Linked DNA regions of Arabidopsis thaliana. The protein of the gene in region 1 interacts with the protein of each later gene in a pairwise test. Each region holds a gene or a part of one and is shown in the gene's direction. Other genes may lie near its edges. The genes, in order: AT4G35320 and GAMMA CA2.

Region 1 (15,940 bases):
GATCTTGTCTAAGGTGATGAATAGAGTCATTTGGGTACTCTCGTCCATTACAGATTAAAGAAACTCGACCCTGACTGAGTCTTAATTTACCAGCTGAATGATGAAAATGGACAATTGATGGGTGTTGATACCTCAAATCTTCTTATTGCAAATTCAGGGAATGACTTACCGGTATGTTATTCAAAAGCTCGCACAAGAAGATTGAACTTCAAGTTATCACTAATTCCTGTAAAAAATTTCTTATCCTTTCTATCCCGTTGCAGGTTATTGATCTTGCAAGAGTATCACAGGAGGTTGCGTACCTCTCAAGCGATGCAGACTTGGTCATCTTAGAAGGCATGGTAAGACCTTTTAATCGCGTGAAGTTGGTGAACTATGTGTTATCTAGTCTTAGGTATCAACAAACTGACTCCTTGACTGTCCTGTACAGGGCCGTGGAATAGAGACAAACCTTTATGCTCAGTTCAAGTGTGATTCCCTCAAGATCGGAATGGTATTAAACTTATAATTCCATGGCGTTACATAGAAAAAGAGTTACATGTTTCTTAATTCTTCCTTATTACTCAAGTCTGGTCTTTTGTTATGCAGGTGAAGCATCCAGAAGTAGCACAGTTTCTCGGAGGACGGCTTTATGACTGTGTCATCAAATACAATGAAGTTCAGATTTAATTATATTTCACACACATTTTTACTAAACCAGCCATTCAGTTTATTATATTAAAAACTGTTAGGCTTTGTAAGTTAGAGATCCAATCTCTATCTCTGCATTCAGATGTAAGAATTGAAAACTCTTTCGACATTCTTTATCAAACACACACAAAAAGCACCAATCTTTCTGATTGGACCTTATCTGGTATTTGAAAGTTTCATATTTGTAGAGAACATGATCTTATTGAGAGAGGTAGCTCTATGGTCATGTTTTTTTAGGTTTCTTGAAGCTGGATGAGCATTTGGAGGATGTGCAGTCAGAAAAATGGTAAGAGAACTCTTACCATGTTATTTTAAAATCTCACATTCATCAATACAATATAATGTGCAATAGAAATGCATTGAAAGAAAGAAAAAAAGGTAGGATGCAGGAACAAAGGTATATCTATCACTTGGTCTTGGTAGGATATGAGGCCATCTTGTTGATTCCACAGAGTCCCTCTGGTTTACCAGTGTTTCTCTTCATCCTAATAAACCCTTTCTCTCCCCATCTTGGTCCCCATGAGTTCTTGACAATAACATAGTCAGATCCCTTTGATGAACCATATCCAACCGCTGCCACACCGTGGTCTAGGTCTGTTCCACATTTACCATTAAACACTCCCTGTAAACAAACAAAAATCTCCAAATCGGTTTTTGAGAGAATGAAAGATTGGATACATAGAACACAATTTCGATATCATAATCATCTGTTATATACCCCTTTGTAGAACTGGAAGTCTCTTCCTGAAGCCTCAATAGCCACACTGACTGGCTGATGAGCTAAAGCCTTCACCAGGCTTTCGTCATCATTTTCAGGGACATCTTCGTAGCCGCTGATTGTCACACGTTCCACATCCTCCTGTGTAAGGTTCATGATTGATCAGTGTTTATAAAAAATCTGTTTCCCAGTGTTAAGTTTTGATTATGTTTGTGTCTAGTGTTTGTTACTTTCTGCTCTTGACAAATTCCTTCCTCCATGAGATAAGGGTAATCATCTTCTTTGTGGAGACCACCGGTCGAAATTATGTACTGGAATGCGTAGTCCATGAGACCTCCATTGCAGCCACTGTTGAAAGTTGTGTCACAGTCTATGAGTTCTTGCTCTGAAAGCGAACTCAGATTCCCTGTTGTGATCTGGTTGATCCCCTCGACAGCTGCAACTGTTGAAAATGCCCAACAGCTACCTGCAGCAACAAAATAAGATCGTTGGATAGCTATTCGAATCTCTGAGTTCTGTTCTATATACCTGGGACCAAGATGGAAAGAGAGAAATGTTACCACATTGACCCTGGTCCTTGACAGGAGCCACAGCGCCTTTCTTTCTCCAGTCTACGGATTTAGGCAAGTCCGTGATATCTCTGTACCTGAAGTTAGCTGAGGGCTGTCTCTTTCTAGAGAATTGTGGCTTTGCAAGTCCTAGATATCTTCCTTTGAACTCTTCATGGGTCAAATCCGCAAACTCGTTCAAACCGAGCCAGTAACTGTTGATCTCATTGTTCCTCTGGTCTATATGCATCAGATTCTCTCTGAAAACCTCAAACCTGTGCACCTTCTCCTCCACGCTTTTGTAAGCCTTGCTGTGTTCTGACATCCATGACTCGAAGAGCTCTAGAAGCTTGTCAGTGTTTGTCAAATGCTCCGGCGTGTATCCAACAATGGAGAAATCACGGGCAAAAGCACAACAGAGGAGAGCTGATGCTGAAATGGCAACCAAAAGAGAGAATTTGGAAAGTGATGGTGCAGAAAAAGCCATAGCCAAATTTGTTCACTGAGAGAAGAGGAAGAAGAAGAAGAGATGGTGTGAAACAGAGTAGAGGAATAGAGCTTATATACAAGTTGGAGACAAGACAAAGTCTCATAGGATTGGCTTTGAAGCAAAGACAATGATTAATTTAAAAACTAAGTACGCCGGTCTCCGAGTCTTCACGGTTGGATCATTTTTGGTTAAGCCTTTTGTTCTAAGCGTGCAATTTTCAACATACAGCTTCACGTTCAGACAGTTAATGATTATTAAAATATCCGGAGGGGTGTTTTATAAAAAAAATTACGTAGAGGCTTAAAATTTCTGAAATTGTAACTATTCTTGATAAGTTTTGGTATCGTACAAATGAGAATAGAAGGTTTCATGAGACGGAAAAAAAAATCAATACAGAAGCACAAATGTGAATATACCTACACGAAAAACAAAATCGTAATCGTTCAAAAGCTTTATCTCTGTACTAGAATAATGGTGTTTTCTTGGTAGATGTAAGTGTGAAGATCTTTACTATCGTAGCTTCCCTGCGGAATGTAAATATACTGAAACAGAGACGACCCTGCAAAGTGCAAACACAGTAATGCATTTTATGAGACACCTTTTACGCAGTCAGTGGCTCTTATGTGCATAAATGTTGGTGGCTACTTTTGATATCAAAAGTTGAGATGATTGTATTAGCAAAAGCAAATGTGGTTAACTTACGTTGAACCCAAGAAGAAGGCTAAGGAAAGATGAAAATTGAAGAGGAATACAGAGACAACTGCGGTGAGAAGCATCGCCACTGATGTCGAATAAACCTACATACCGATTGATAAAGTTAAACCCTGTGTCAAAAAGTGACAGGGGAATGAATGTGCATTTTTTTGCAAATACACTACCTTCACGATATTGTCTGCATATTTCATCACCATCGACACAGCAATGCCACTTCAAAACAAACAATAAAAGAGTGTTTTGGTGTTAGCTTCACTAACTTACATCAGAGTTAAGAAAAAAGTCTGGCCTCTTAAGCAGCTTTTACCTGAGAGCATGGTTAAGAATCATGAGTAATGTGATGAAGGAGTAACCATGGAAGAATCCCCTGAAAATGGAAAACCATCCCATTCAATACCAGAACAGAAGAGTCATAACAGCATAATACGCAGTTAGTATAATATAATGGAACTATAGGACACCGAGGATATAGAGGTGTAGTACTAGTATGTTCTGGCATTTTATAGCAAGTATGAAAGAGGATGGTTTTTGGATTTACTTATTTGCAACGGCATCAAAATCTTGGATCACTATAGCAACAGCATTGAAAGCCATCCCAAAGACATATAGCCAGAAGTTCTGTACATTTATATTCCTTGAAGGTCGCTTTTTAATAATGGCCTGCCAAAATGGAAAGCAAAACCTTTATAAGCTTTATATATCATAAGTTAATTTATCAATGGAAGGAACCAATTATACTGTATTAGTGTTGACACACACACAGAGAAAAGAAACCAAATCAGCTTTGAGTATTTACAGTATACAGTCCTAATATCCCACCTCTGTGTACACTCCGGCGAAACCACTTAAAAGAGCCATGACCTAGAAACAACGAGTGATTATATTAATTGATGTGGACATGAAAGCTGCTTCACAACTCTTAGTTGATATTAGCTTGCAAAGGGGGCTAACAGCTTACAATTGCCATAGTCCAGCCAGGAAGAGATGTCTGAAGAACACGATCAGAACTGCAAAAGCAATTTCAAATATGAGACATATATTGGAAAAATCAGCAGAGACCTGAAAGTTCACAGAGCAGGAACCGGATATGAGCTTTTGTGTGTTACGCATCATATGCAAGAATCGTTAAAGCTCAATTTAATAGAATTCATATGAAAATCAAGGGTAAAGTTTTACTTTGAATTCAACTGAGCAGTGGTGCATCCGCAACACAATAGAATGAAACCCGCCCACTGAATCTCGCTCAATCTGTTAGAGAAGATAGTAAGCAAAGCAGTTCACACTTGCAAGAATTGAAGGAAACTGAAACAGCTCACTGATGGATTTCCAGAACAACTATTCATTGGAAGCTGTTAAATCCATTTGGATGATTAAAAAAACCTACTTTCTCTTCAGTATAATTCTGTACAAGACACCGGTACTTATGATGTTCAAGTTCTTCAATATCTGATAGCCTGGGGCGTCTACATATGCAAAAATATAATACTGCCACGTAAAAGGTGACACAACAAGTAGTTAGAGACATATTAACATGAAAAACATAAGTTAAGAAAAATCGACCAAAGCCACAGAAAAAAATAACAAACTCAGGACACCCCACCTGTAACAAATTCTTAAAAAGATACAATGCTGCGGGAATTGGAAAGACTTTAACTTCATCAAATGTTGTGCTTAACCTGTTATAGAGACAGGATTTGGGTATCAGTAACGAAAAATTCAGTGAGCTATCTACGGTCATGTTCAAAGAGGAATTAGATATAAAACTCATGGAAATTTCTCTAAAACTGATAACAACAGATTGAGTAACAAAATAATTCGCTACCTGTTGTCGTCAGTAACACCTTCATTTTTCCATATCCTTGTCAAAGCAAGAAGAGATAACGCACATTTCAGAGTTCAACCTGATGTCCACCAAAGAGTAAACAAAATCACTATATCATCATGATTCAGAGATTAAAAACCACACAAAACTGGCCTCGCTTGCAACACATACAGTACACTCAATTTAATGCATCTATGAAACTCACCAAAAAGTTGGCGGTTGTAACACTATACTCATACTTCCCAGCTCGTTTCGACCACACGATAAGTATCGCTTGAGAACTCGTCAGAATCGTCAGTGCACATGTTACTACACCCCTAATTCAACACAAGCTATTTAAAGAACTTGAATTTTCCAAAAAAAAAATGAACAAAGGAAAAAAACTTACTTTCGTTTCCAGTTGATCCGTTCACTGGATCCAACACCCAGAGTAGCCATTGCAATGTTACTCGAAGCAACTGTCAAATCAAAGCACCAATGAGCACATTAAAGAACACGAGAAGTGGAATTTGAGAAAAGAATATCTCACCGGTATGAGATTTTCCTTTCACACTCTCGATATCAGAAGCAACGTCATGATCGTCCTGAAGAAGCTCGGAACAAAATTGAGCATTAAAGAGAGTCCAAATCTTAAATTAAAAGCAGCAGAAAGACAAAGTGAAATGGAAGTAACGAACCTCATCTTTGATTTTCCGGTACTCCATTGTTTCAAGCTCTCAGATCTCTGTGATCTCTTCTCCGAACATACACACTCGATAGCTATTAAAAAAAGAAAGAATAAAGTGCTTAATTTCGATTTTGGGCTTGAAATTTATTGGGCCTTAGTCTAATACCTGATTAGGCCCGTCTGGGATATCTTTTTTCTTTTTTGGATTTTTGTATGTGATTGTTCTTTTTTCTGTCAACATAAATTTGCTTGGCTATGGACATTGGACAGATTCTGCTACATTTTTCTGATTTTTATTATAAAAAAATCAAAGCCAATGCAATTTCAACAGATTTCTGTACTGGGAAAATAACCTTTAAAATAAAATTACAAAGAATTTTTTTAATTAAATTTGTATTGTGACTTGTGATGGAACCCTACCTGAAAACAATGTTTATCTATATTCACTAAAAATAAAATTGTTATATTTCCAATATTATAGGTGCATTCATTCATACACAAAACAACTAACTATACAAATCAACAAATAAACATAACAATACAAATTATTTAATACAAAAACAAACAGCAACAACAAAATGAATGTAATTGGCTGGGGGCATAAAAGTAAATGGACCCCACAAAAATAAAGTGGAATAAAACCCCAGCCTGTGTTAGAGCTGTGTTCACTAATCAATCTCTCACATTCACATTCATCTTCTTCTTCAATCTCTCTCAACACAAAGAAGAACAAAGAAGTTATGAGCTCAATGATGGAGACTCTCCAGATTCGTAAACCCACTTCCCTCCCCGTTTCTCAACGCCCTAATGCAGCAGCCACCGCCGACGATGAGCCTGGTCTCATCCGCCGTCGTCTCTCTTCTCTATCACTCAACCTCTCAAACCAACCAGCAGCGATCGCAGCTAGATTCCCGAGATCCAAATCTGTTTCCGCCATGGGAGAACAAGCAGGAAGCTCTGTGAAAGAATGGTGGGAATGGGGTTGGTCATGGATCCTTTCAAGAAAACCTATATTCATCAGAGATCTTGAGCTTAACAAAGACGAAGCTAAATCGATTGGTTCACAAAACAGAGGAAGTATAATGCACGTTTTCTTCAAACTCCGATCTCAGATCCGTAATTTCATGGGACCTTCTTCAGAAGATTCTCTTCCTCTTTCTTGCAAATACAAGCGTCAACGATAAAATGATTCATATAAGGTTGAGATTTTGTGATTTGTCTGTTCTTTTTTTACTTTTGTGCAATGGAGTATAATGAATGTATAATTCGTCTTTTTTTTTTTAAACTTGATGTTGTATTTTGCTATAATTAATTTGCCTAGATTATTATTAATCAATTTATTTATTTTATTTGTGGTTACGAGTTTGTGGCTGTGCAGTTGTATTTTTGTATTTTAATAACCATGCAAATTATATAGAAAAATCCGTTATTTTCGTTTTAATCTTTTACGCGCCAACATGAGATTCTTTTTTTTTTTTGGTTTTAATGTGAAAAACAACATGAGATTCTTCTATCTAATTATGATTCTGAATTTCGTTGTATAGTTTCATATACACAATGATCATAATGATAATTGATGATAACAACAATCTATGTCGAAGAACTCTTAATTTCATGATACAAGTAGAACTAAAAATCTAAAATATTTCACCGAATTATTTTCCCATTTTGTGGGGTTTTCAACAAAAATGGTATGTAAAAAAGCAAAGTATTAACGAGAGTTCGGTTCCATAAAACTGAGACGCGTGTGGCCGACAAAACATTTGTCGGTGGCAGCAAATCGTCGGTGGCGTATTGATATTTATTGTTCTGATTATAGTTTAAACTAAACTTTTACTTTCAAGTCGGACTAGTTTTAAATTAAGAGAATTTGGGTACAAATGATCGTATTTTAGCTAATTAACATATAATTTTTAAATAACAAAGCTGACCAAATTGCCATACGTTACTCTTAAGAAGAGGTTATTTTACACTAATAAAATATGAAAAGTGACACCAAAATAAATATTTTTTGTTAATATGAATATGCCATGTGTATAGGAGAAGTACCAAAAAACCTGTATATGTAAAATACATTAAAAATGGTTTTGGTGCATAATGTTCCAAATTACAGATTGTGGCCAATGAATAATTTGCTTGGAACAGCTTTGAGTTTTGGTTTTATTTGAGTTTAAATACAGATTACTTAGAAAAAGCACTTTCATTTACATGATTGAGACTTGCTAGCTCATCATCTTCCACATCATAGGCCATTGGTACTATTCTCATATAAATTTATTCAATATCGAGTTGTGTAGTCCGATATGGATGAAGGGTCGTGATCGTCTAGAAAAGAAGAAATAGATTTTCAAAGTAAAAATGCTTAGAAATCACACAACATACAAAGACATTTTTGTTTTTTTCAAATACAAGTGAACAAAGTTTAACAATGGCAGATGATGAACAAAGCTCACTAACTTCAACAATGGCCATAATGAACAAACAACAAAGAGGTAAAGAAAAAACCTCCAAAACTACTTGACGATTAATCACACAGTCGTTAAACAAAACTCGAACCATCCACAGGTATGAATCCGGTTTGGTCTTCTTTCATCGCCTTCTAGGTGGTGAGCATTGAGGTTGTTGATTCCATGAATAAGAACATTTTCGCAGTCACGATCGCACTAACATATTAAACACCGGGGAAAACAACCTCTACGCGTCTCTCATGCTAATGTTTAGACTATTTCTCATCGTCCTTCTTCCAACACCAGCATTTCCCTTTTGCATCATCTCCACAAACTCACCATAATCAATCTTTCCATCCTGTTCAGACCAACATAAGAACCGATAAGACTTTTTATCAGCTGATGCCTCGACATTAGCCTAGCGAGGAATGTGGAACAGATCATCATATAAGCTTACATTGTTTTGATCAACTTCTTTGATGATGTCTTCAAGGAAAACATCAGCCATGCCATGTTCAACACACGCTTGTTGTAGCTCATCAATTGTTATGAAACCGCTTCCATCTTTGTCAAAATATTGAAACGCTGCAACAAGATGCTCTTCCCGCTCTAGTTTGTTGAGATGGATCGTCGCTGCAATGAACTCACTGTAATCTATTGTCCCACTGTTGTCTACATCAGCCTGGTCAATAAAAGAGCTGAGTGTAAGAATACATAACAATACTTCATTGTCAATGTACTTAACCAAATAAGGTTAGATTTTTACCGCATCCATAAGATCATGGATCTCTGTGTCTTTCAAGGTAGATCCATATTTTCTCAGCCCAGCTTTGAGTTCATCAAATGTGATTGCCCCGCTGTTATCAGTATCCATTGCTTGAAACATTTCTCTTAAACCAGCTATCTCTTCTTCCGAGAGACTCTCAGCTATAACCTGATGAGCCCAAAACAAAGAGTAAAACAAACAGTTTCATGAGAAGTGATGCAGAGACCAAAGAAGATAAAGGGTTTACGCACAAAATCACTCACCTTCAAAGCCATCTTCTTTAGTTTATTCATTGCAGAGAATTGCTTGAGACGAGAAAGAACAGCTGGATCTAGTGCTCTATCTGGTGCAACACCATTCTCACAGATCCATGGATGACCTGAAAAAAGGATATTAGTCTAATGCTGTTTGGTTGTCACTATAAGTAATCATTTATGTGAATACGTACGCAAGACTTCATGAGCGGTCAAACGTTCTGCAGGCTTGGAGGATAACATTCTGCGGATCAAGTCTTTAGCACTGTCGGATATCACAGGCCACGGGTCTGACTCAAAGTCGATATATCCTTTCAACACAGCATCAAATATCCCTTGCTGTGTTTCTGATTCCAAAAACGACAATACAAAACACATTTCAGGTGACTTAGACTTTCTACATGACTAAGAAACAGGCTAACATGGAAAATGACAAATACCTGCCCAGAAAGGTGGGACTCCGCTTAGCAATATATACAATATAACACCAGCAGTCCACACATCAGCTTCAGGCCCATAACGTTTGAGCAAAACCTCAGGAGCAACATAATATGGACTTCCAACAACATCAGTGAATATTTGACCTGAAAGTCACATTCTGTTTCATAAGATTCTTTTACCAGCCTAGTTAAGCAAAACATTAACTAAAAGCTTCAAACACTTTACCTGGTTTGAAAAAGACAGATAGCCCAAAATCAATAGCCTTGAGAGAGAAATCATCATCCTTATTAACCAATAAGAAATTCTCAGGCTTCAAGTCTCTATGCATCACACCAAGCGAATGACACGCTTCAACAACACCGACAATGATCTTAGTCAGCTCAGCAGCTTTCCTCTCACTATAATGTCCTCTCTGAATAATCCTATCAAACAATTCACCTCCAGCACAAAGCTCCATAACAATGTGAACATACAAAGAGTCCTCATAAGCTCCTTTAATCGTCACGATACTACCGTGACCAGCTAAATGATGCATTATCTGAATCTCCCTTCTAACATCCTCAACATCTTCTTTAGAGATCAACTTCCTCTTGGATATTGACTTACAAGCGTAGTCAACGCCTGAGGCAATCTCTGTACATAGATAAGTCGTTCCAAATTGACCTTGACCTAGCTTGCGGCTAAGGGTATAGATATCACGAATGTTTGGTGTCTTATGACCAAGAACATAGTAAGCTTGATTGTCTGGGTTACGCCTCATGATTGGTTCTCTTAAAGGAATAACAAGAGCTGGATCTTTGCTGTTGTTGTTGCTGTTGTTGTCTTTGGAGAATTCTTGAGCAATGATGTCTGCAGCGTTCGGTGAATGGTCGGAATTAGAAGACAAGTTGGTGGTAGAGGTTTTAGAGTAATCTTCAGGCTTATTGTTATCGCCTTCGTCGAGTTTGTCCTTGAAAGATCCACGGCAAGAATTGCCCATGAAACAATGGGAATTACCAAATCCTGGTTATAAAGACAGCAACTTTCACTTTGTGTTCTTCATCAAAGGAACTGTTCATAGAGATAACACTGTCAAAAGTCAAAAGACTTAAATTAGACCAAATACAAGAAGCTAAACGAGAACAAAGTAACGAACTTTAACAATACCACAAGTAAAGAAAGACGCAAAACCCACATCAGATCAAAGAGTCAAAATAACCAAAAAAAAGACAAAGAGCTAAGAAGTTTCGATGGATCTTTTAAAGGAATAACAAAACAGAGAATGAAGTAAAGCAAAAAGAGGATCTAGTTACCAGTTGTTGAACTCAGAAGGGCGAAAGAGAAGACTGAAAGAATGGGATTAGGAAGGAATCTGACTTAAAAGGAGAAACTAAATTTAGGGGAGACAAAAGAGAAAAGTCGAACAACAAAGGAAAGCTACAATATTTTATGTTTATTTATTTCAGAGATTGAAGTAAGAATAAAAATAGATTTTTTAAGAGCTTTGGTTTGGTCGGATAGATTAGATTCGTTGGATGAGAATGTGATGGTGTTTTATTTTACGGCGGCGATTGAGCGAAGAAAGGTCTTTTATTAGTGCTCACCAGCTACTACTTCTACACCTCTCTGACTCTGTCTCTCTCCGCTGTTTCCTCTCACCTTCTTTCTTCTGCTTTTGCATTATTAAATTTAAACCAGTTTCTCTTTTGTTTATCGTTTAAATTGTAATTGAAAAAAAAAACTAAAATTAGAATGTTGGTTTGTACAAAATCAAAATGCATTTCTGGTTTTACTAGTTACCGTTAATTGTAAAAAAATTTAAGTATTAAGCACGATGGTTTTATTCTCGTCGTATGAGAAGACTAATTTAAATACATGTGATCTACTTGTAAAAGAAGCAACCGTTCATTCAATCTCCTATCAGAAAGAATAGTAATCTCTTGAGATTTTTTCTTAAGATAAAGATATGCCAAATATTTAAACAGTATTATGGCGTCACTGACTATTATGACGTAAGAGATTGACTTTTCCATATATTGCAACTTTCTGGAGCCCCGCACATAATCCCTAATAAGTTTTACTTTTGGGCCTTGTTTATTCACTGATCCAGCCCAATGTTCAAATACAAAATTCAGACACCCCAAAGGCCGTATTATTGTATTGTTTTAGACTTTAGACCTTACAATAAGGCCTAAAATGATAACATATTACACATTTCAATTCCAGATAAAAAAAAGAACCGAAAATTTTAATTATAAACGCTATCAAATTGACATTTTCACAAGACTGAATCAAATTTGACACCTCCACGTACACAAGCAAAATTATATTTTGGGTTTTGTATCAATGTGCTGGCTGATTTTTTTTAGCAAAACTGTCCTGTAACATCTCTCCAACTTGGTTTGAATTCGTTTTAACATTAGTTTGGTGACAAACATAACGTTATTGAATTTTTCATTTTTCCGTAATAATCATTCTGATTTTTTTCTTTTCAAAATGTTGTTACTAGATGTTTCTTTCCCAAGAATAATATCTTAAATCAGTAATCACTACTACCAGTAAACATAAATGGTACGTTTCTCCTCATTCTACGGAATTTTTAAGAAGCAATGATGATGATTAATTGAGGATGTGGACAAGAATCTTTATATATTCGCATTCACATGCCATAACTTTCAAAGTCTATGAAAAAAGATTCTATTGCGTGTTTATATTCTGTGGTGTGTACTGTAGTTCCAAACATAACGCTTGTACTACGTTCATTTCCGGAAAATATCTAAGAAATATGGAGTCATAAATATTTATTAACCAATTAGATGTTTTTCCTATGTTCTAAATACATTTATGGTAATCTTTGCGGTCAAATATACGAACTTTAACAACGACGTTTAACAATATATCTTTTGTTTTATACATATCAAGTTTTGATATACGGACGATAGATATTTATTTTCAGAAAACCAGTAGTTGTCGTAGTCACATGGTTTGTTTTTCGTTGATCAAAATTTGTTAATGTTATTCATTTAGAATTAGAGACTGTATATCGAATTTGGTACTCGGTTCTAAAAAAAAAAAAAACTCAATATGATTTTTTATACATTCTTTTTCTTCCCTTTTAATCTGTAAGAAGAATAGTAAAGTGAAGAAGAAAAAACTATTCATTATATTGTAACATACGAATACGACTCACAATTAACTAAAGTTAAAGTGTCTCATTGTATTTGGACTTTGGACATTATTCTCCATTATTGCATTGTTTCTTTCTTTCTTGATTAATTATGTAAAGTTGAAATGATTTGAAGATGCTTTCCGGATGTAAACAAACTAAACTTTACTTTACCAATAACTTTGTTTTCAGAAAACTCAGATATTTATCTCTAGTTTCTCGTATAAGTCCCAATGAATCTAAGATTTCAAAAACCAATCCTATATTTGTTTCATATTTACAAAAAAACACCAAATATTTTTCCCCAATTATGCCGACATTAAACTCATCTTTTTACATACAAAATCCCAAATTAATATCCGTTTTTACCTTTACTTCATGAAAGCGAAGATGGTAAAAAGCAGAAACATTTCGAGATATTAATTTGATTGTATAGGCCCGTGAATAAACTCGTGGACCCAAATCGAAAAGATAACAAAATTTAAAGATGTACTTAATTCTCTGAAAAAATTCTGTACGCAAACACGAGAAAGAGAAGAGAGACATACACACACAATACACATACGTGGTTTGAGAGGACAGGAGCAAAACGGCAGGTGTCACTAATCCCATAGGCTTCTCTCTCTGTTCACTGTCCTTCCGCACAAAAAAAAAAAGTATTCATTTTTATATTCTCACGGTTACTTCGAAATCTAGCTTTCGTTTTCTTTTTTTTTGATTTAAACCAAAAGGGTAAACAATGCTTTATGATTGCTTAGTGACGCCATTGAAGCAGCGGCTCACTGATAGTGGCTTCTTCTGCCTCCAATTCCAAGTTGCTAACCCTAGTTTTCATCTCTCTCTCTGTATATCATATTCTCTCGTACTTTCTTACTTTCTCTTCTACTTGGTAGAGATAAAAAGTAGTCAAATTTTATTCAAAGTTTTGATTTTGACATCTGAGGTTTCACCTCTGTTTTTTTTTTCTAGAACTCCTTTGGGTATGTGTCTTTTACGTCACTAAAGGGTTTGTTATAGTCTTAGGTCATGCTTTTTGGTGTTATCTCTCTCTGTTTTATCTTTTAGCTCACCAAGTGATTGTGTCTGATTTTCGAATTTTCAGGTGGATTTTGTTTCACTCACTCATCGTCGTTGATCAGTGACTCTGTTTTTGCGAAATTCTCTTCAGATTTCTTGATAAAAGATAGAAGACGGAATTATGAGTGGAGCTGTGCTTGTTGCTATTGCTGCTGCTGTTGGCAACTTGTTACAAGGATGGGATAACGCAACTATTGCAGGTGATTGATTATCTTCTGTATCCATAATTCTGTTTATGAAATTTAGGATCGATAAAGTCAGGATTTTTATGGATACAATTCACAGATCTTTTAGCTTATCTCTTTTGCTTGTGTGATGGATTTTAAGTTTTCTTTGGGTACTCTGCAGGAGCTGTGTTGTACATAAAAAAGGAGTTTAATTTGGAGAGTAATCCATCAGTGGAAGGTCTAATTGTGGCGATGTCACTTATTGGTGCTACTCTGATTACAACATGCTCTGGAGGGGTAGCTGATTGGCTTGGTCGCCGTCCCATGCTAATATTGTCCTCAATTCTCTACTTTGTTGGTTCTCTAGTAATGCTATGGTCTCCGAATGTTTATGTGTTGCTCTTAGGAAGGTTGTTAGATGGATTTGGGGTTGGTCTTGTGGTCACACTTGTTCCTATTTATATATCTGAGACTGCACCACCTGAGATTAGGGGACTGTTGAATACGCTACCGCAGTTCACTGGCTCTGGAGGGATGTTCTTATCTTACTGTATGGTTTTCGGAATGTCGTTGATGCCATCACCTAGCTGGAGATTGATGCTTGGTGTCCTTTTCATCCCTTCCCTTGTCTTTTTCTTCCTCACGGTCTTCTTCTTGCCCGAGTCCCCAAGGTGGCTCGTGAGCAAAGGTCGAATGCTTGAAGCAAAGCGGGTTCTTCAGAGACTGCGTGGTCGCGAAGATGTGTCTGGTTAGTCTTAAATCGTTCTGACTCTAATTCTTTCAATGAAACCAATCTTTTCTATTGAATGTTCTTATGTGGCAATGTATAGGTGAGATGGCTTTGTTGGTTGAGGGTCTTGGAATTGGAGGTGAAACAACCATAGAGGAATATATAATTGGTCCCGCGGATGAAGTTACTGATGATCATGATATAGCTGTGGATAAGGATCAAATTAAGTTATATGGTGCAGAAGAAGGGCTGAGTTGGGTTGCTAGGCCAGTCAAAGGAGGAAGCACTATGAGTGTTTTGTCTCGCCATGGAAGTACAATGAGCAGGAGGCAAGGCTCATTGATTGATCCTCTTGTCACACTGTTTGGGAGCGTTCACGAGAAGATGCCGGACACTGGAAGCATGAGGAGTGCCTTGTTCCCACATTTTGGGAGTATGTTCAGTGTTGGAGGGAATCAACCAAGACATGAAGATTGGGATGAAGAGAATCTTGTTGGAGAAGGTGAGGATTATCCATCCGACCATGGAGATGATTCTGAAGATGATCTTCATTCTCCGTTGATCTCACGTCAAACGACAAGCATGGAGAAAGACATGCCTCACACTGCTCATGGAACTCTTTCTACCTTCAGACATGGAAGTCAAGTGCAGGGAGCTCAAGGGGAAGGAGCGGGTAGTATGGGGATTGGAGGTGGATGGCAAGTGGCATGGAAATGGACGGAAAGAGAAGATGAATCGGGACAGAAAGAAGGTGGGTTTAAACGGATATACTTGCATCAAGAAGGTTTCCCAGGATCTCGACGTGGCTCAATTGTTTCATTGCCTGGTGGTGATGGAACCGGTGAGGCAGATTTTGTACAAGCGTCTGCTTTGGTTAGCCAACCAGCTCTTTATTCCAAAGACCTTCTCAAAGAACATACAATTGGTCCTGCTATGGTACATCCATCCGAAACAACTAAAGGGTCAATTTGGCATGATCTTCATGATCCTGGAGTCAAGCGTGCATTAGTCGTAGGAGTTGGACTTCAAATACTTCAGCAGGTAGTCTAGATAGCCACATCAAAATTAGTGAATCACAGAAGAAATAATGCGGTTTATGCTAATTCTATGTTTTCCTGCTTCCTCTTGGAAATGCAGTTCTCAGGCATCAACGGAGTTCTTTACTACACACCGCAAATCCTTGAGCAGGCGGGTGTCGGGATCCTACTATCGAACATGGGGATTAGTTCTTCCTCAGCATCCTTACTTATAAGTGCATTGACAA
Region 2 (16,431 bases), on another chromosome or scaffold:
TCTTATTCCATGGCCTAATTATTTTTGCCAAAATGGTTAAAATATTTAAAAATTAAATAATTATTTGAAAGAAAACTTTAAATTGATTTAAATTATAAATCTTTTAATAAAAATATTATTAAAAAAAATCATTTCACCGAACATGATTAGAGAGTAGGACTAGATGGTAGGACGTGTTTATAATATTATAATATAGAAACTTTATAACAATTAAATAACTATTTGAAAGAAAACTTTTAAATTGATTTGAATTAAATATTTTTTAAATTAAAGTATTATTAAAACAAAAATAACAAAATAATGTCTAATTTTACTGAACGGGGTTAGTGGTAGGACGGGTTTGGTCGATAGTATTACGAGACGGTATACCACAAGTGAAATCCATTAGATATGTTTAATTTCATTGTGCAGGATTAGATGGTACGACGGATTTTGATCGATAATAATACGAAACGATATATTACGGATGAAATCCTAGATATAACAATTAAAATCTATATATACATTATCTTAAACACTAAACAAAACAAACAATATTAATAAAACAAATATCTACATATACATTTTATATAACAAATTTTATTAAAAACCTAGCCCCGCGGTATACCGCGGGTCAAAATCTAGTACAATACATGGCATGGACTAATTTATTCATCATCAACTAATTTTGAACTCAAAAACTCATAATTCTTAAACTTTTCGAAATCTCGAAAAATATACCCATAGTTACCATTTATCGTATTCATTTGACAATCACTAACCACTTTTAATGCTTTGTTTTAAAGGCATCTTGGCAGCTTGGAGAAAACACCCGGATCAGATTGAAAATCATCGAAAGTTTTTTTAGTAAACATTTATCTCAAGAATATGCATAAATGTTTATGAAGAAAAAAATATGTAAACAGTTCTGTTGCATTCACTTGTACCTTATTGAAACTCTTATTTGTATTAAGACTTTTTTCCAGTAATGCTAACATGTAATTTAAAGACACTACTAACCCTAATTTAAGTTGAGAAAAAAAAAAAAAATTACAACTTAAATCTTATTGTAGCTTCAAGTTTTCTAATAATCAATGTTTTAATTGCAATTTGGTACATATCATTTCTAATTTAAACTAGACTAAGCACATCATCATTAATACTAATGGATCTTCTGCCTGACCCTTGACTCAGAAGACATGTTTATTGCAAAACAAAGAGACCAATAATCCTTTCTCTCGATGAACAATGTGTCCAAAGTTCTTCTTCTACATACCTCAAAGAACACAGAGACAAATGACAAGATCGAACAACGGATTCATCTATCGGTCTATGGATAACAAGATCCCATTGCTTTCGATTACTTTCTTCCACGGGTTAGCCTCTGCAAATGGTAGTTAATGTTACCCCAAGACTTGTTCTTATGATCCGACTGCAAAGCAAGCAAGAAAACAAAACAAAGTTCATCGTTTTCGCAAAAGGCAGTGACGAATAAAAGTATAAAACGCAGTAGCAAAATGCAAAGATATTAACCTGGCCTTGCATACAAACACTCAGGAGTTGCTTCTGTTTCTCACATTTATCATCTTTGATATTGTTAAGAGCCATACAGTTCAAGAACGATACCATTTCCTTCATACACGGTTTCGCCAAATTCCCGAGCTTTTTCGGGTTTATGTACAAATTTCCAGCCTTTCTCCCCATTATAGCTCTCTCAACTAACTAAAGAACCAGAAACCATAAAAAAAAAAAACAGTAGTAAATCAAATCTGCAGCATCATATCAAGTTTCCCACAAAGCTACCCTTACCCTGAATACACTCATATATCACATTTTCGTCGACAGATTCAATCCTAGGCCTTTAAACAACAAGAGAAAGTAAGAACATTGAGATTAACCCACGAAACACTAACAATTATACATTTCTATGACGTTGAGAAGTTTGTAGAAACCATATGAGAAGATAAAACAAATGATGAACACACTTAAAGACCCAAGATCGGAATCAACATCAAAGCCAAAATCAAAGAAGAATTAAACATACAAATGGTCTCAGATCCGAACATAGAACGAAATCGAATCTAATTGGGCAAATCAAAAATCGCAGAATCGAAGCAAAACGAACAAACACAAAATCTAATCAGAGAGAAATGGGGAACGAAGCACTTACAAAGATTTCTGAGAGACGACGAGACGAGAGAAATGGTGAATCGCAGATTGAGAAACGAGAGAGAGAAGCTTCGAAATTACAAAACCCTTAGACCCAACAAAAAAAATAATAATATTAAACCCTATTATTATTAAAGCCCATTGGGCTTTGAGCCCAGTAAAGAATCCGATCATTGAAAATACTTTTCTAGTATTCTTTGGTTTTGGTTAGAATCATTCATCAATCATCACACTTAAAAGGTGACAGGATGAATTATCTACAAGATCATTAGAACTTTTTTTAGTCCCTAAAAGGTGATTAGTAAGATAATTATGGTTTTTAGTAGACTATCGAATCGACAATACTATTTGATATTCTAAATTAAAGTTTCATAAATATGTTCTGACTCTAAAAATGTTTTTAAGCGCTAAATGTTTTTATGCTAAGTGCTAACTTCTTATAGTCGTAATCGGCTTATGCTCATAATCACTTAGACTAGGGAATCTGTTAAAATAATTAGTCCTTTATTAACTGTATTTACATAGTTATTGATAGTATGTATTATTGAAGCTTTGCTTCTTCTAGGGTTCTAAACTAGTAATAGTCTCCTTTGATGAATTCATTCAAACGTTTGAGCTCTCCATTTTGATGGTCCACAATGGCTTTAACCACATCAACCATAGAGATCAGTCCCACTATCTTTCCGTCAATCACCGGTACATGCCTTATGTGATTCTCTACATCATTTAAAAAAAACACAATTTTCTTTTGTCAATTTCAAAACATAATTTACAATTTGGATTAGATATATATATATATATATATGTAAGTATATATAGTAAATTACCTGACATAAGCTGCATTGCTTTGATTATGTTTGTCCCAGATGAAACAGTAACCAACTTGCTCTGGCCAAAATCATTTCCAATTCTTTTACTTAAAATTACGAAAATTTACAAAATGAAAAATTAACTTGAGAGTTTTATCTTTTGTTTATTCTGACCTCGTCTGTCATAACTTCTCCAACTTTTGTAAGCTTTGATGATCTTCCTGCCCCAATGATCTTTTTCATATAGTCTGTTTCATTTTGTGATGATAATTAGTCACAAAATGAAGAACCCTTCTTAATAAATTGTGTGTTTTAACTGTTAACTACAACATTCAAGGTATTGGGTGATCATATTCATAACTCCTTTTTTTTGGTATTTTTCCGTAGAAAGAACATTATTAAAGAAAGCTTATATATACCTCTCTCTGTGACAATTCCTGCTATATATTGTTGGTCTCCAGGTTCTAACACGACCAACGATCCAATATTATGCTTTGCCATCTGTTTTTTGTTTTTAACACGACCAACGAGATTAGTGGTCTACGCATATATCTTATATATGCATGACAAATTGACATAATATACAAATATGTGTGCTTTACTTATTATACATAAAATAGAAATATATCTCGAAAACATTGGTCTGATTTACAATTTGACATATACATACGTGTATACATGACACATTGACATAAACTACATATAGGTATTATATTGCACCGAATGTGGAAATTAATCACGTCTTATTTTATTAGCTGGGACATAGAACAACGTGGAGTAGGCAACGAACCTAACATTAATAAGTAAATAAAATAGTTCTTGTATGAGTTTTTAGTTCGAGATTTATAGACTTATGGCAGCTTAAATGTCCAAAGGTAAAGAATTGTACCCCAAAAACATATTAAGCTAACTAATGCCATAAAATTGATACATTGTTTTAAAAATCTCGTTTTCATGGGTACTAATTGATGCGTGTGTAACGTGATGAGCAAACAATAAAAACGGAGAAAAAGAAAGAAGTTTGAACGAACATTTTTAACAGCGTCAGAAACAGTGTCATTCGTACGGCACGAGATCCACGTATCAATGTCAGTATCCTTCGTGGAGAGCACATCCGCCACCGTCAGATTCTCCAACCCTTTCTCCGGCGGCGGAGGCGAAGTTAAGCAACCAAAACCGGCCGATACCTTCCTCTGATGAATCTTTGGGACCTCATTAGCTCTTGCTAATAGTCCTCTCACAAAAGCTTTCATTATATAATCTTATTAGGTTCAAAATTGTACTTTTTGCAAAAATAAATGAAACAGAGATTGGGTTTTGTAATAAAGGAAAGGTGATGACTCTTTGCTTCCAATGAAAGACTAAAACATACCTTACCTTAACCAAACGTTAATTACTTTTAATTAAAAAATTAAGAAGAAATTAAAGTTTTTAGAATGAAAAAAAAGATCTGATTGTTTGATTGCTCCAAGAGGGAAAAGTATGTACATTAAACCACACAAACTGCAAATAGAAGAATATAATTTGATATGATATGTTTTGCTTCATTCGCAGACTGGCTTCGTGTCGAAGCTGCTTAAACAAATAGCAAAAGCTTGGAATGCAGAGATCGGGTAACGATAATCCATTGTGAAAATGTCTTTGCCTATCTTCCCAAACTGTAATATCACTCTATCTTGTTCCTCTTCTGGTATGTTCATGTTCTTCCCTGCTTCTGCAGCAGCTGCCACTAGCTGGAAGTTTTTCACCGAGGCGACTGTGACTCGACCTTTGAAGTTTAGACACCAGCACTGAAGCTGTTCGTGCCATCTCGGCGACTTGTTTTTCAGAATTAATGGTTCTTTTATAACGGATTCTCCTCCCAGGTTCCCTGAGCAGAAATCCATCAGCGGCTTCTTCTTCTTCTTTCCTTGGTTTGTGAACTCCGTTGGCGACTGGATTTTGCCGCCTTCTTGAATCGCTGAAATCGGGATACTGTGCATTATACATTGCATTCTTCTTGGACCTCTGGTTCTCAGAACATTCAGCTCATACAAGATTGAAGCTATGTTGTAACTACTAGATGACGACGATACCCATGGAGACACTTGCATCGATGGTGGGAGCTTTCGGTTAAACGGAGGAGGTTGGTTTTCGTAGACTGTGAACTTCGTTCCCAGGAAATTTGATCTGTCCACCACACACAACAAGACTTATAATAGATGGGCATGGTGATCATATAGAACAAAAAGAAGAAGACTTTACCTCAGTTTTCCTATGTAATTACTACTACTTCTCGAGAAGTCATTCCCCGATAACGATACAACAAACTCCGCACCCGTCGCTCTCCTGACTCTCTTTGCAGATAACAACAACTTACTCTTGTCACCGGAAAGAGCTATAAGAAGACGAATGTGATATATAAAACAGTCCAAACTCAATTCATAAGAGGTTCTTAAGGTGAACTAGTAAAACTAACCAGGGCTTAAACCAAGATAGAGACGGTATATCCCCGTAGCTCTTTCACGTTTAATAAAGCATTGAATTGGAGCATCTCTAGGTCCAGGCTAAGCCAAACAAAACCAATGTTTTAGACACAATGATAATCGATTATAAGACAAACTGGTCAAGAGTAACAAACCTGTCTTAAAGAAATCGGAAACGTGATCAAACCAGAGAGCTCAGGAACTTTAACAACTTCTTTAGTCATCTCCCTCCATGACTTACAAACCGAAGCACAAGCAACAACATCTCTCCTCCCCGGCCATAAACTCTGTTCAGACTCAATCCTTTGGATTATATCAAGAAGTAACTCTGGAGGCAAATCAACCCAAATACTCTGGTTTAAACCTTCATTAGTTGATAAAGAAGAAGACACAGATGATCCTTCTGGTGCAATGTGTGACCTCCCTCTTCTACCAATAGCTTTGTATTTGTTCTTCACTATGTTCTTCAATGACATTGCTACTCTGCTACAAACAAAACTATTATAATTTCTGTAATTGAGAGTTTGAGAGACCAAATCAAAAACCCTAATTTGTACCTGATTTTATCTGCTCCCCCAGAAATTTCCCAGCTCCGTTTTGGCTGATGATGAACAAAGTAAATCAACAGAAATGTCTCAGTATTCACCAAAGAGAAACTTTATTCATTGGAGAAAGCAAAATCATGAAAAGAGCATGGATCCGGCTTCTCCGGCAATATCGTGAAGAGTTCGAGAAAGTTTTAAATAAACAAAACATCGAGAAACGAGAAAGAGAGGAAGAGAGAATTATTGTTACCAACAAAAGCGACAAATCCATGGGGAAGCACAATTATATTTCTGCAGATGAGATAAGTTTTTGGATTCTTCTTCTTCCGATGAAGACGAAGAAGAAGAAGAAAAATTCAGCGAGGAATTTGAAATTAAAAGCCTTCTCTTCTCGAAAATGTTAAGTTAAATGAACCACCAACACCAACACCTCTCCGATGCCGTTACTGTCGCCGTCGTGAGCTTCGATTCCGAAGAGGAGAGGAAGGAGGAAGACGACAGTAACCGCAATGATTTCGAGGAGGAAGAAGAAAAAGAGAAGACAGATGGGTTTTTTTCTTTTAATTAGTAAAACGGAAAAAGACTAAGCGCGGCTCATGTTTTTCAATTGAAATTAGTAAATTACTCAAAATAGGATTTTTTTTTTGTAAAACTATTTATTAGCTGATAATTTTTGCTTTTTTGAGAGTTAATTACAACTGGATTTTTTTAAAATTTTATTAATTGGCACGAAATATGATATTTGAAGGTGTATTTTAAATTTTTAGTAAATTTACAAAGAAATTAATAATAAGAAATATTACGTATCAGGTTATTTTATTGTGTATGTTAAATTGAATTATATGTAACTAAGTAAATACAAGAATTTGATGTTGTTTTTTTTTTTGCCAAAAGGTGTTGTTATTTATATGAAATATTGTACAAACATCCATGATACAGAGATGATATTACACATTACAAAGACGTCTATATAAAAAGATTGAACATGAACTTTTAAAAGACTGAATCAAGGTTCATGTACAAAACAGAAGGATCAGGATGCTAGAAGATCAACTACCAAAGGAGAAGGTAGAAGCCCTGGCAGCAGTGTTGAAAGACAAACATCTTGACTTCTCAATAAGAACAGGAAACGAAAACTAAGTTTCGCATCTGAACTTATAGCTTCCATCTTATGCTTATGTCAAGAGAGCTTCTTACTTACCAACGTATCAACCAACCATAAGTAGTAGTAGAAGATTGAAACCGTCCTATAAACCCTTCAAGTTTATACCCATCAAACTGCAACACTTAAAACTAAAAAGGACAGTAACTCGAAACAATCCAAGATAGATTGTTCAGCCAAAAGCAGTAAACACTAAAAGGAGTTATGATTCCTAAGCAGCTATAGACATTCCAAAAAAACAAACCTTACCCCAAAAAGTTGAATTCACAGAGTATAAGGGTAGATTATACTCACATTTGTAGACACAATTTTTCGAGATCTTATCCTCACAATGAAAACAAAAAAACTCATAGCATACTCTAAGTATCATGCAAATATTTTATTAGTCGGTGGCATCAAACCACCTAAGGCTCAAAATATCCCCTCTAGTAACCAACTTTCGTTACAAATTTCAGGATTAAGGCTCCAACTCGGAAAGAGCATATTCGATGTTCTCTTCAGCTCGCGACACATATATCGATTCCACCTCACAAATCACTCAAACCGAGCTCATCTCATGATGCATAAGTTGGGTTTACTTCGCAATCACTTGAACTAAGTCCTTCTCACGGCGTATTTGTCAGGTCACCTCGCAACTACTTAATCCAAATTCATATCCAACAGCATTACAAGAATATTAGTCTTCAAGCAAATAACCTTACTCAAAGAACTCAAGCTTATGTTGATACCGGATCGCGCACGACAAATCCATCTTACGCATCCAAGTTCCATCACTTTACAGAGCAAAGAATGTACATCTTGCATAAGAAAGGTGGTTAAATCTTGATATTAATTTGTGATTAAATTTATGAATTAATGGTCATGGTTTAAGGAGTAAACTTGCCATTCAAGTTTACGAATTAATTATGAGAGTTATTTTATGAGCTAGATATGTACCTAATGGCCAAATAAAGATACATAGGAGGAAGGAAAAGACTATAAAGAGAGGTGGAGACCCTAAGAAAAGAGACTCCATCTTTTTTTTTGTAAAATGGTTTTCAATGTTATAAATAAGGTCCAATGGACTATTTCCGGATTTAGGCTCATACATTTTCCCTTAGACTCAATCCACTTACATATAACCAGACTAAACCATCTATTACAAAACCGATCTAAACCGAAAGTTGAAAATCCTAATCTCATATCGTAAAACACGATCTGAGCCGCCGTCCAAGAATTGCAGAATCTCACCGGAACAGAAACCCTTTGGGGAGCCTAGACGAGATTCGTCGAACGGAGATGGTAATTCAGGATCCGTTGTCCTCCTGCCACCGTAGAGCAGTTTTGAGGAGGAAGAGGCGATCCGGGTTGCCATAGTCATGAATCTCATAGCTCAGTCGAGAGAGTTGACGGCAGTAGTGAGTAGATCTCAAGACCATCGACGGTGGTAAAGCCTCACCGAAGCGGAGTCGACCTCCCCCATCAAGCGGCGACCCAATGAAACCTCCAGAATCTTTAGACTTCCGACCTAACCGCCGTCAGCCCTTGTTCTTCACTGTGAAGTCTCATCCTTCCTCTCCGTGAAGCCACACCACCGATATAGCTCTTACCGACAGTGTCTCGCATAATCTTCTCCCCTCCACCAGGGCCAACTCAATATATTCTCTGTCACTGTACAAATTTTCAAATTTAGCCCTTTTATACTAAATATTTTGAGTTTGGCCCTTACATTTAGTTAAAATTTTATTATGGCCCTCAGATTTAGTCAAAATTATCTTTTTGACCTCAAATTTGATAAATTTTTTTATTTTACCCTTTAATTTTGATCAAATAATTTTTGGATCCTGTGCAATTGCTCCTCTTGCACTCCCCTAATGCCGCATTTGCCCTCCACTGCTCCCTTGATTTTGAATAGATTGAATTGCCGAGAAGATGTAGCGGATCACGGTTGAAGCACCATGTCCCAATGGGTTTCTTCGTCGCTGGAGTCAACGAAAAAACTTATTGACGGAACAAGAGATTGTGATTATAAGAAGAAAAAAATTTGAGAGAGAAATCGCCCACGCGTAAATATCACTTGCCCGACTTCTTTCTAGTATAACTCCAAGAAAAACACCCAAGAAACTCCATCTTCTACATTCTTGACCCCATTTTAGATACAAACAATGTTTTTTCCAATCCTTATACTAAAAACTATTTCTTTGCTTTATGCAATACTTCCAATATCCAATGCACAATATAAGCTAATATCTCTATTTTTATCTCTTTATTTTCTTTGCTAAATTATATTAATTATTTTACTCATTTTTGTGTTTGTCTCCTGAAAGCTTTGTTCCATCTCCTTACATTGCAAAACGAATCTATCCGGATTTTGTATTCACAATCTCTGTAAGTCCAACCAATAAATTTCGGTTTGGTTTAGCTTACCAGTTACCACTCCATACTCTAAAAATTTAGAGGTCAACAAAATAAACGAACTCACTCGAGTTAAAAAAAAAAATCCTCCCATCAATACGCCTCCATAAACCTCTCTCTATCTGGTGGAGCGACACCAAAAACAACAAAGCCTTCTCATTTTCACACTTTGGGTAATCGGAGAATCACAAAAAAATGGGAACCCTAGGACGAGCAATTTACACTGTGGGTAACTGGATTCGTGGAACTGGTCAAGCTCTTGATCGCGTTGGTTCTCTTCTTCAAGGAAGTCACCGTATCGAGGAACATCGTAAGCTTCCAGATCCTTCCACTTAATACTCTCTATTGAAACCCTAGATCCAATTCGTTATCTCTAATTTGTGTCTTCACCTTTGATTGGAGAAATTTGTGGCTTAGATTGAAAAAATTTGATTCGAGAAATTTGTGTTTGTTTTCAGTGTCGAGGCATCGGACGTTGATGAATGTGTTTGATAAATCACCATTGGTGGATAAAGATGTGTTTGTGGCTCCGAGTGCTTCTGTTATTGGTGATGTTCAGATCGGAAAAGGCTCGTCGATTTGGTATGGCTGTGTTCTTCGAGGTGAGGCTTTATTACTTCTAGAAAGTCTTAATGGCCTTTGGTTCGATAGAAGTACCAAATTTTGCAGCAGTATATTGTGCAAAGTAGTCATAGTTTAGTTTTAGGAAATGAAGTTCTCTTTACCTTCTAATAATCTTGTATCGCTGTTATACGTTACTGTCCTGATCATTGGACATAGATTTATTGTACTGTCGATAAAATGTGTCATGAAGTAGCTGTGAAACTTATTGTATGTTAATCTGGGTTTCTAACTTGTGCAGGTGATGTGAATAACATCAGTGTTGGATCTGGGACGAATATCCAAGATAATACGCTTGTACATGTTGCAAAGACCAACATAAGTGGCAAGGTTCTACCTACTCTGATTGGGGACAATGTAACAGTAGGTAAACCTTAAAAAGCGATTTATCAGTTTTGAAGTATCTGTTTTTATGTTGTGTTACACGATTGTTAGTTAAAGGTTTTGTTTGTAAAATGAAACGGAGCAGGTCACAGTGCTGTCATTCATGGGTGTACTGTTGAGGATGATGCTTTTGTTGGTATGGGAGCAACACTACTTGATGGTGTGGTGGTTGAGAAACATGCCATGGTTGCTGCTGGTTCTCTTGTGAAACAGAACACGCGAATCCCTTCTGGAGAGGTTTCTTTCTTTCCACTTTATCTTTTCTGGTTTACTGCTTACGGAGTTTGTGATAAGACTGGAACTGGAAACTGCTTTATTTCTCACTAAACTGAACGAGAAAATCCAAAGTATCAAGAACCAAAAATAGAACTCTAGCTAGGTTTACTTATCACGGACCCTGAAGCTCTACCAAGCCTAATAACGAACTGCTAATTAACCAAGTAATAGCAGCTGTAGTCTGCTGCATTTAGTCCTACGCTGACCTGTAGCTAAGGCTTGACCAGCTGAACTTCTTCAAGTAGATCCACTTTTGCTTTGCTTACAATTTAGTTGATACAGAATTAGTTAATGAAATGATATGCCTGTAAATTGTATTATATTTTGATCAAAAAGAAGAGTAAATAGTATTTATATATCGTCTAAATCTGAGAACCACCTTTGTTTCCGTTGCAATTCTACTTGTATATGAAACAAGGGTGAGTTGGGAGTAACAGAGGGTTCTTGTGTTTCCAATGTTTTATGAGGAATTAGACGGATTTCTTATATCGCTATGCTTTTGAACTACTTTCTTCAACCGTCAACCTGAGAATATATTTACAAGGACATATCTATAAGTTATCAGTTTCATGTGGCAGGTGTGGGGAGGAAATCCAGCAAAGTTCATGAGAAAGTTAACAGATGAAGAGATAGTATACATCTCACAGTCAGCAAAGAATTACATCAATCTCGCACAGATTCACGCCTCAGAGAATTCAAAGTCATTTGAGCAGATCGAGGTTGAGAGAGCGCTTAGGAAGAAGTATGCACGCAAGGACGAGGATTACGATTCAATGCTTGGGATTACCCGTGAAACTCCACCGGAGTTGATTCTTCCCGACAATGTCTTACCAGGTGGTAAACCCGTCGCCAAGGTTCCGTCTACTCAGTACTTCTAATTCCAATCTCAGGTTGTTTTTGTGTGTTGAAATCATTTCAAGACAGGATTGATTCTCTGGAAGGTCAAGAGAGATATTATTTTGGTTTTAACTTTTCTTCCGAGCAAGCAGGAGATTTATCATCCTTGCTCAATAATGTATGGTTGCATTATGAAGTCATTTCTTCGAGGAACAATTTGCAGAAAGAGAAACAAAGTTGGATTAATCTTTCATTCTTTCTCTCGCTGTTTCTCTCATTCAAAATGGTGTCTGTTTGATACACTCTCTAGGTTGGCGATTCGCCGATTATTATTATCATGTGACAGATTTGACTTAAGTAGGACTAAACATAAGCTAGTGGCACTCAATAACTCCTTGTTCCAAGCTGTTAAATAAACAAAGCCGAATAAAAACCACAATTGTACTTGGAAGTTGGAACATATCAAAGAGCTACACACAAGAAAATTGGTTAGAAAATCCAACTTTGAACTCATTCCCTCTTGCTCAAATTTCCATTGGTGCAACATCTTGATCACCTGAACCACCTTGTTCACCAGTTCCAGCAGCACCAGGAGCAGCTTCGGGTTCGGCCTCACCCTCACCAGCATCTTCCTCTTCCTCAGGAACCTTCTCAAACGTATCAATCACCTTTTGAATGCTTTCCTGGTCCAAGAAATGGAATGGTTCATCGACTCCTAGAACAGAAACAGTGCAGAGCGAGCTCTTCAGTGTTTCCCCTTGCAAAGTTTCCCTTATGGCCATAATAGCATCTTTTATCAGATCTTCTTTTGATGATTCTTGGAAGCTCTCGAATTTGCGCTCCAGATAGGTTTTCGCAGCTTGTGAACGAGACCCGATAGCGAATGCTTGATATTCAAAGTAGTTTCCGCTAGGGCAGTTGTAGTAGAGGTGAGCTCCTGACTCGTCCAATCCACCTACCAGCAAACCCACACCATAAGGCCGTTTCCATGATCGTTGGGTACATACCTGCTCAAAGATAATTTATGAAGATGTTTAATACAAGACAAACAAATGACTTAACATTTGAATGAAATCAGAGTGTTGTTCAAACTACAAGACTGATATCAATACGTTCTCAGAAATCAATTGAAAATGTAGATACAGCAGCTAACTTAATTTTTGACAGACATGAAAGTAAGTGGGACGTAGCAATCAAACCTTTTAAAAATTGTGAACACATCATCTAACTTGAGAACACTACGTTTAACACCAAAAGTAGTGAACATGTAGCACAAATTTCTATCACAACTGTAAACCAACATCTTACTGAAAATATACTTCATTAGGCAAGTAAATAAAGTGGCCAGGACATACTACAACTACAAGTAAGTAAACAAATGCAAAGTAATACAAGTCAAAACCACAAAACCAAAAAGAGATCAACAAAGACGTATATTTATTCTAGAATTGCAAGCAAAAACAACTCTATCAAGCAAAGAGAACAGACGATGACAACACAGAAACAACCAAACGACCAAAATCATCACATTCTTATACACTTCTATCGTCAAAGTGGGTATACAGGTTAACTCTTTCTAATCGGATTAAGCAACTAGCAACAGAACTGGATATGATTAACAACACAAGAATCTCTAATTCCCAATCACTAAGACTTGATCACAAACCAATATCACTACTTGCATAACAACACACACATTCTACAAATAAAATTGGCCACATTGCTAATAAAAACCTAAACTTTACTCCAATTACATAAAGCTTCAAACTTTCAGATACTCACACATCATAAAACTAAACCCTTTAGCAAATTCTAGGTCAAAATTCAAAAGTTAACCCAAAAATCTCAATTTACCTGAGCTTTATCAGCAAGATGAACAACAAGACGACCAACAGGAAGAGGAGACTCATAAGTAAAAGAGTGATTAATAGACTCAGATCTCATATATCGAGAGAGAACACGACCATCAGCAGTGAGACCAGCAATAGCAACACCAATATGATCATCGACTTTAAAGATCTTCCTTTGATGAGAAGAGAGCTCTGATTGTGCTTTGTTGACACAAGCGAGGACGACATGAGAGCGAGATCTGAGTCCTATTGCTGCGGAGCCTTGTTTCACAGCTTCCATGGCGTATTCGACTTGGAATAGTCGACCTGTGGGACTCCATGTTGTCACATCTGTGTCGTACTGGTTCCTGAACATCTTTCTTCTTCTTGTTCCTCTGTTCTTCAAAAGCTTTTCGTTTGCTTCAAGCTAGAGGAGGATGGTCTCTCTTATAGAGCTTAGAAGAAGAAAGTAAAGATTGTCAAAAAAAAGAGAAAGAAGACAGTAGAGTAAAATGGGCTTATGAAACTTAATGGGCTGGGTTTAATTATCCATTACTCTTTATTATTTTTTACACATTTAAAAGGATTATAATTTTATAAATAAATACTTAGCATTATATTATTTCTTTTTATAGTAATTAATTTAATTCATAATTTAACATTTGCAGTTTCAATTGGTTTTACATTATTTATTTACACATTTTTCACTACACTGATTATAAATTTACTATTCCCTCTGATCCTAAAACAATGATATTTTGGATTTTTCACAAATTAAAAAAAATAACTTTTATATTATTTTTATTGTTTTTTCTTACTGCAAACTATGTTTTAATCTATGAATGTAGATCATTACAGAGAAGGTTTTTGAACCAAATTGGCTCGTTCCTAAAGTCTGCTTTGAACACAGAAATCGTAAAAATTGGGGAAGCAAAATAGTCCGCTTAAAACACAAAAATCGTAAAATTAGGAAAACTAAATGGTGAGCTATACTATTACAAAGACGTTTTGTGAAAGTAAATACAATAGATGAAAATCTGAAGACCAATACTCTAAATCTAGAAGTAAATTAGCAATTTTACTTCTATTAGACTTGCCATTGATGGTTTTAATGAGGACTTCGCAATCTCTTTGGAATTGTACTTTCTTGTATTTTTGTATCCAAATTTGTTGCATCGCCACAAGTAACGCTTTCGTCTCAGCCTTTAGGAGAGTGTTGACATGATCTAAAATTGAAGATCCTCATGTGTTTGCTATCCCTTCATGGTCTCGTATAATCCATCCACCCGTACTTTAAGTACTATTCCTGTGTAAGTCCGCATCGAAATTGCACTTGACAAAAGAAACTGTCGGTTTTCTCCATGAAGTATTTTCCGATGATGGTGCTCTTGTTGTAGTAGTTTTTTCTTGCCTCCCTCTCGTGTTTATAATTCATTTATTATTTTTTTAATTAATTTAATAATATCAGTTCTACTTTTTTTCCTTTCTCTATTGATCACTAATGAAAATAATATTAATTTAAAACATCAACTTTTGTGAAACAAAAGTAAAATTTAAAACATCAAACTTCATGGACTAGAGGGAATTACAAGTTATTGTATTTTATTATTTCTAATTTTATGAAAATTAATAATTTAGCATGTGTAGTTTAAATTGGTTTGGAATAAAATTAATTTAGAAATCTAAACAAATAAAGTCACATGTTATTAGATTTTTAATTTGATATTTTGTTTTTGATAAAATCTTGTATTATTTGGTTGGAAACAAAGAGTATTAAAATTGTGTCAATTAGCTAACTAGCCAAATTCGACATACAAATTAGCAAAATAGTCATACGTCAGAAAACTTTAGTAAATAGTTTTTTCTTGGGGTGTAAAATAACCAAAATAACCTGGAAAAATAGACGGGAACTCGTGAGTTCCGACACTAGGTGTCTATATGTAGGGAACATAAACATGCGTAGGTAATGAGTAACCCGTTTTATTTATAAAACACACGCCATTTATATATGTTTTTGTTCCTGATGAGCCACATAACTTATAGATTTCAATTACCAATGAGAACATAAACATGCGTAGATAATGAGTAACCTGCTTTATTTATTAAACACACGATATATATAGATGTATTTGTTCATTTTTTTCTTAATTCTATAAACCACATACCTTTTAGATTTTACAGATGCATTTGATATTTAAACACTAACTTATATCACTAAATATGTCAAAAACGGACCATATATATATACAGATGTTTGCTTTGTATGCGACTAGTTATTCAATGGAGACTAACAGATAAAAAGGTCAATGGTAACTGTAACATAGAATGTTATTTAAAAACAACACATGTAATTCCTATATGCATACGCTGTATGAAAACAATGGGCGTGAGTTGGAAATTGTGTATTGGGCAATAAACTCGGCAAAGTATCAACTTATAGAGATCATACATTACATGCAATGTTTCGTTATATCAGTAATCATTAGTATGCAACTTGCTACATAATATGGTCGCCAAATCTTATTTGCGATTTGACAATGTAAATCTATCCGTAGGAAAATATTTGATACGTATCTATTGCATTAAATGCGGCGACAGTGTTATATACGAGTTCCAATGTTGCATTGGGGGAAGGGGTGAAACAAATTCCAAAAACAACGTGTTTCGTATAAATATAACATAGGATAACCACTAAGCATCCACCAGATAAACGACACGTCGCGCATGACGTCTGCGATAATGTTAAAACACATGAATTATTGTGGTTATGCATGTAATTCAAATACAATTCAGTTATATGTTTGATGCGACATTTACAGAAGCGACAGATTCCATCGATTAGCAGCCCTTCGAGAGTTTGGAGGGAAATCATAATTATTCAATATTATGTGGCTTAAAAGCTTGTAAGCACTGTTGCGGAAAATGTCTTAATATATTGTAGCCCTACTTCGTAGCAAAAGA

Evidence for each region.
Region 2: the proteins of AT4G35320 (region 1) and GAMMA CA2 interact in a two-hybrid assay, tested with the Arabidopsis thaliana proteins (one study listed by BioGRID).

What each region holds. Positions count from the first base shown.
Region 1 is NC_003075.7:16,797,032-16,812,971, reverse strand, and holds AT4G35320 (uncharacterized protein), read left to right. Parts: upstream 1-6,141; 5' UTR 6,142-6,389; coding exon 6,390-6,833; 3' UTR 6,834-7,103; downstream 7,104-15,940. Other genes in the region: AT4G35360 (pantothenate kinase), read left to right, coding at 1-13, 94-171, 264-341, 431-493, 589-669; XCP1 (xylem cysteine peptidase 1), read right to left, coding at 1,097-1,312, 1,409-1,549, 1,639-1,874, 1,969-2,443; CPK5 (calmodulin-domain protein kinase 5), read right to left, coding at 8,344-8,454, 8,554-8,778, 8,863-9,030, 9,126-9,241, 9,311-9,463, 9,557-9,700, 9,783-10,536; TMT2 (tonoplast monosaccharide transporter2), read left to right, coding at 13,901-13,979, 14,128-14,694, 14,777-15,717, 15,814-15,940.
Region 2 is NC_003070.9:17,316,635-17,333,065, reverse strand, and holds GAMMA CA2 (gamma carbonic anhydrase 2), read left to right. Parts: upstream 1-9,581; 5' UTR 9,582-9,718; coding exon 9,719-9,833; intron 9,834-9,981; coding exon 9,982-10,125; intron 10,126-10,385; coding exon 10,386-10,511; intron 10,512-10,613; coding exon 10,614-10,765; intron 10,766-11,382; coding exon 11,383-11,682; 3' UTR 11,683-12,165; coding exon of another isoform or gene 12,166-12,648; 3' UTR 12,649-13,495; downstream 13,496-16,431. Other genes in the region: AT1G47280 (uncharacterized protein), read left to right, coding at 786-825; AT1G47278 (uncharacterized protein), read right to left, coding at 1,340-1,411, 1,513-1,701, 1,789-1,803; AT1G47271 (Cystathionine beta-synthase (CBS) family protein), read right to left, coding at 2,723-2,865, 2,976-3,036, 3,132-3,205, 3,377-3,458, 3,989-4,210; TLP6 (tubby like protein 6), read right to left, coding at 4,502-5,126, 5,202-5,334, 5,416-5,503, 5,578-5,908, 5,980-6,023, 6,218-6,238; AT1G47265 (uncharacterized protein), read right to left, coding at 8,268-8,498; PAF2 (20S proteasome alpha subunit F2), read right to left, coding at 12,166-12,648, 13,496-13,846. UniProt on the Arabidopsis thaliana protein: Enzyme involved in the catabolism of H(2)CO(3) but that does not mediates the reversible hydration of carbon dioxide. Mediates complex I assembly in mitochondria and respiration. Binds HCO(3)-.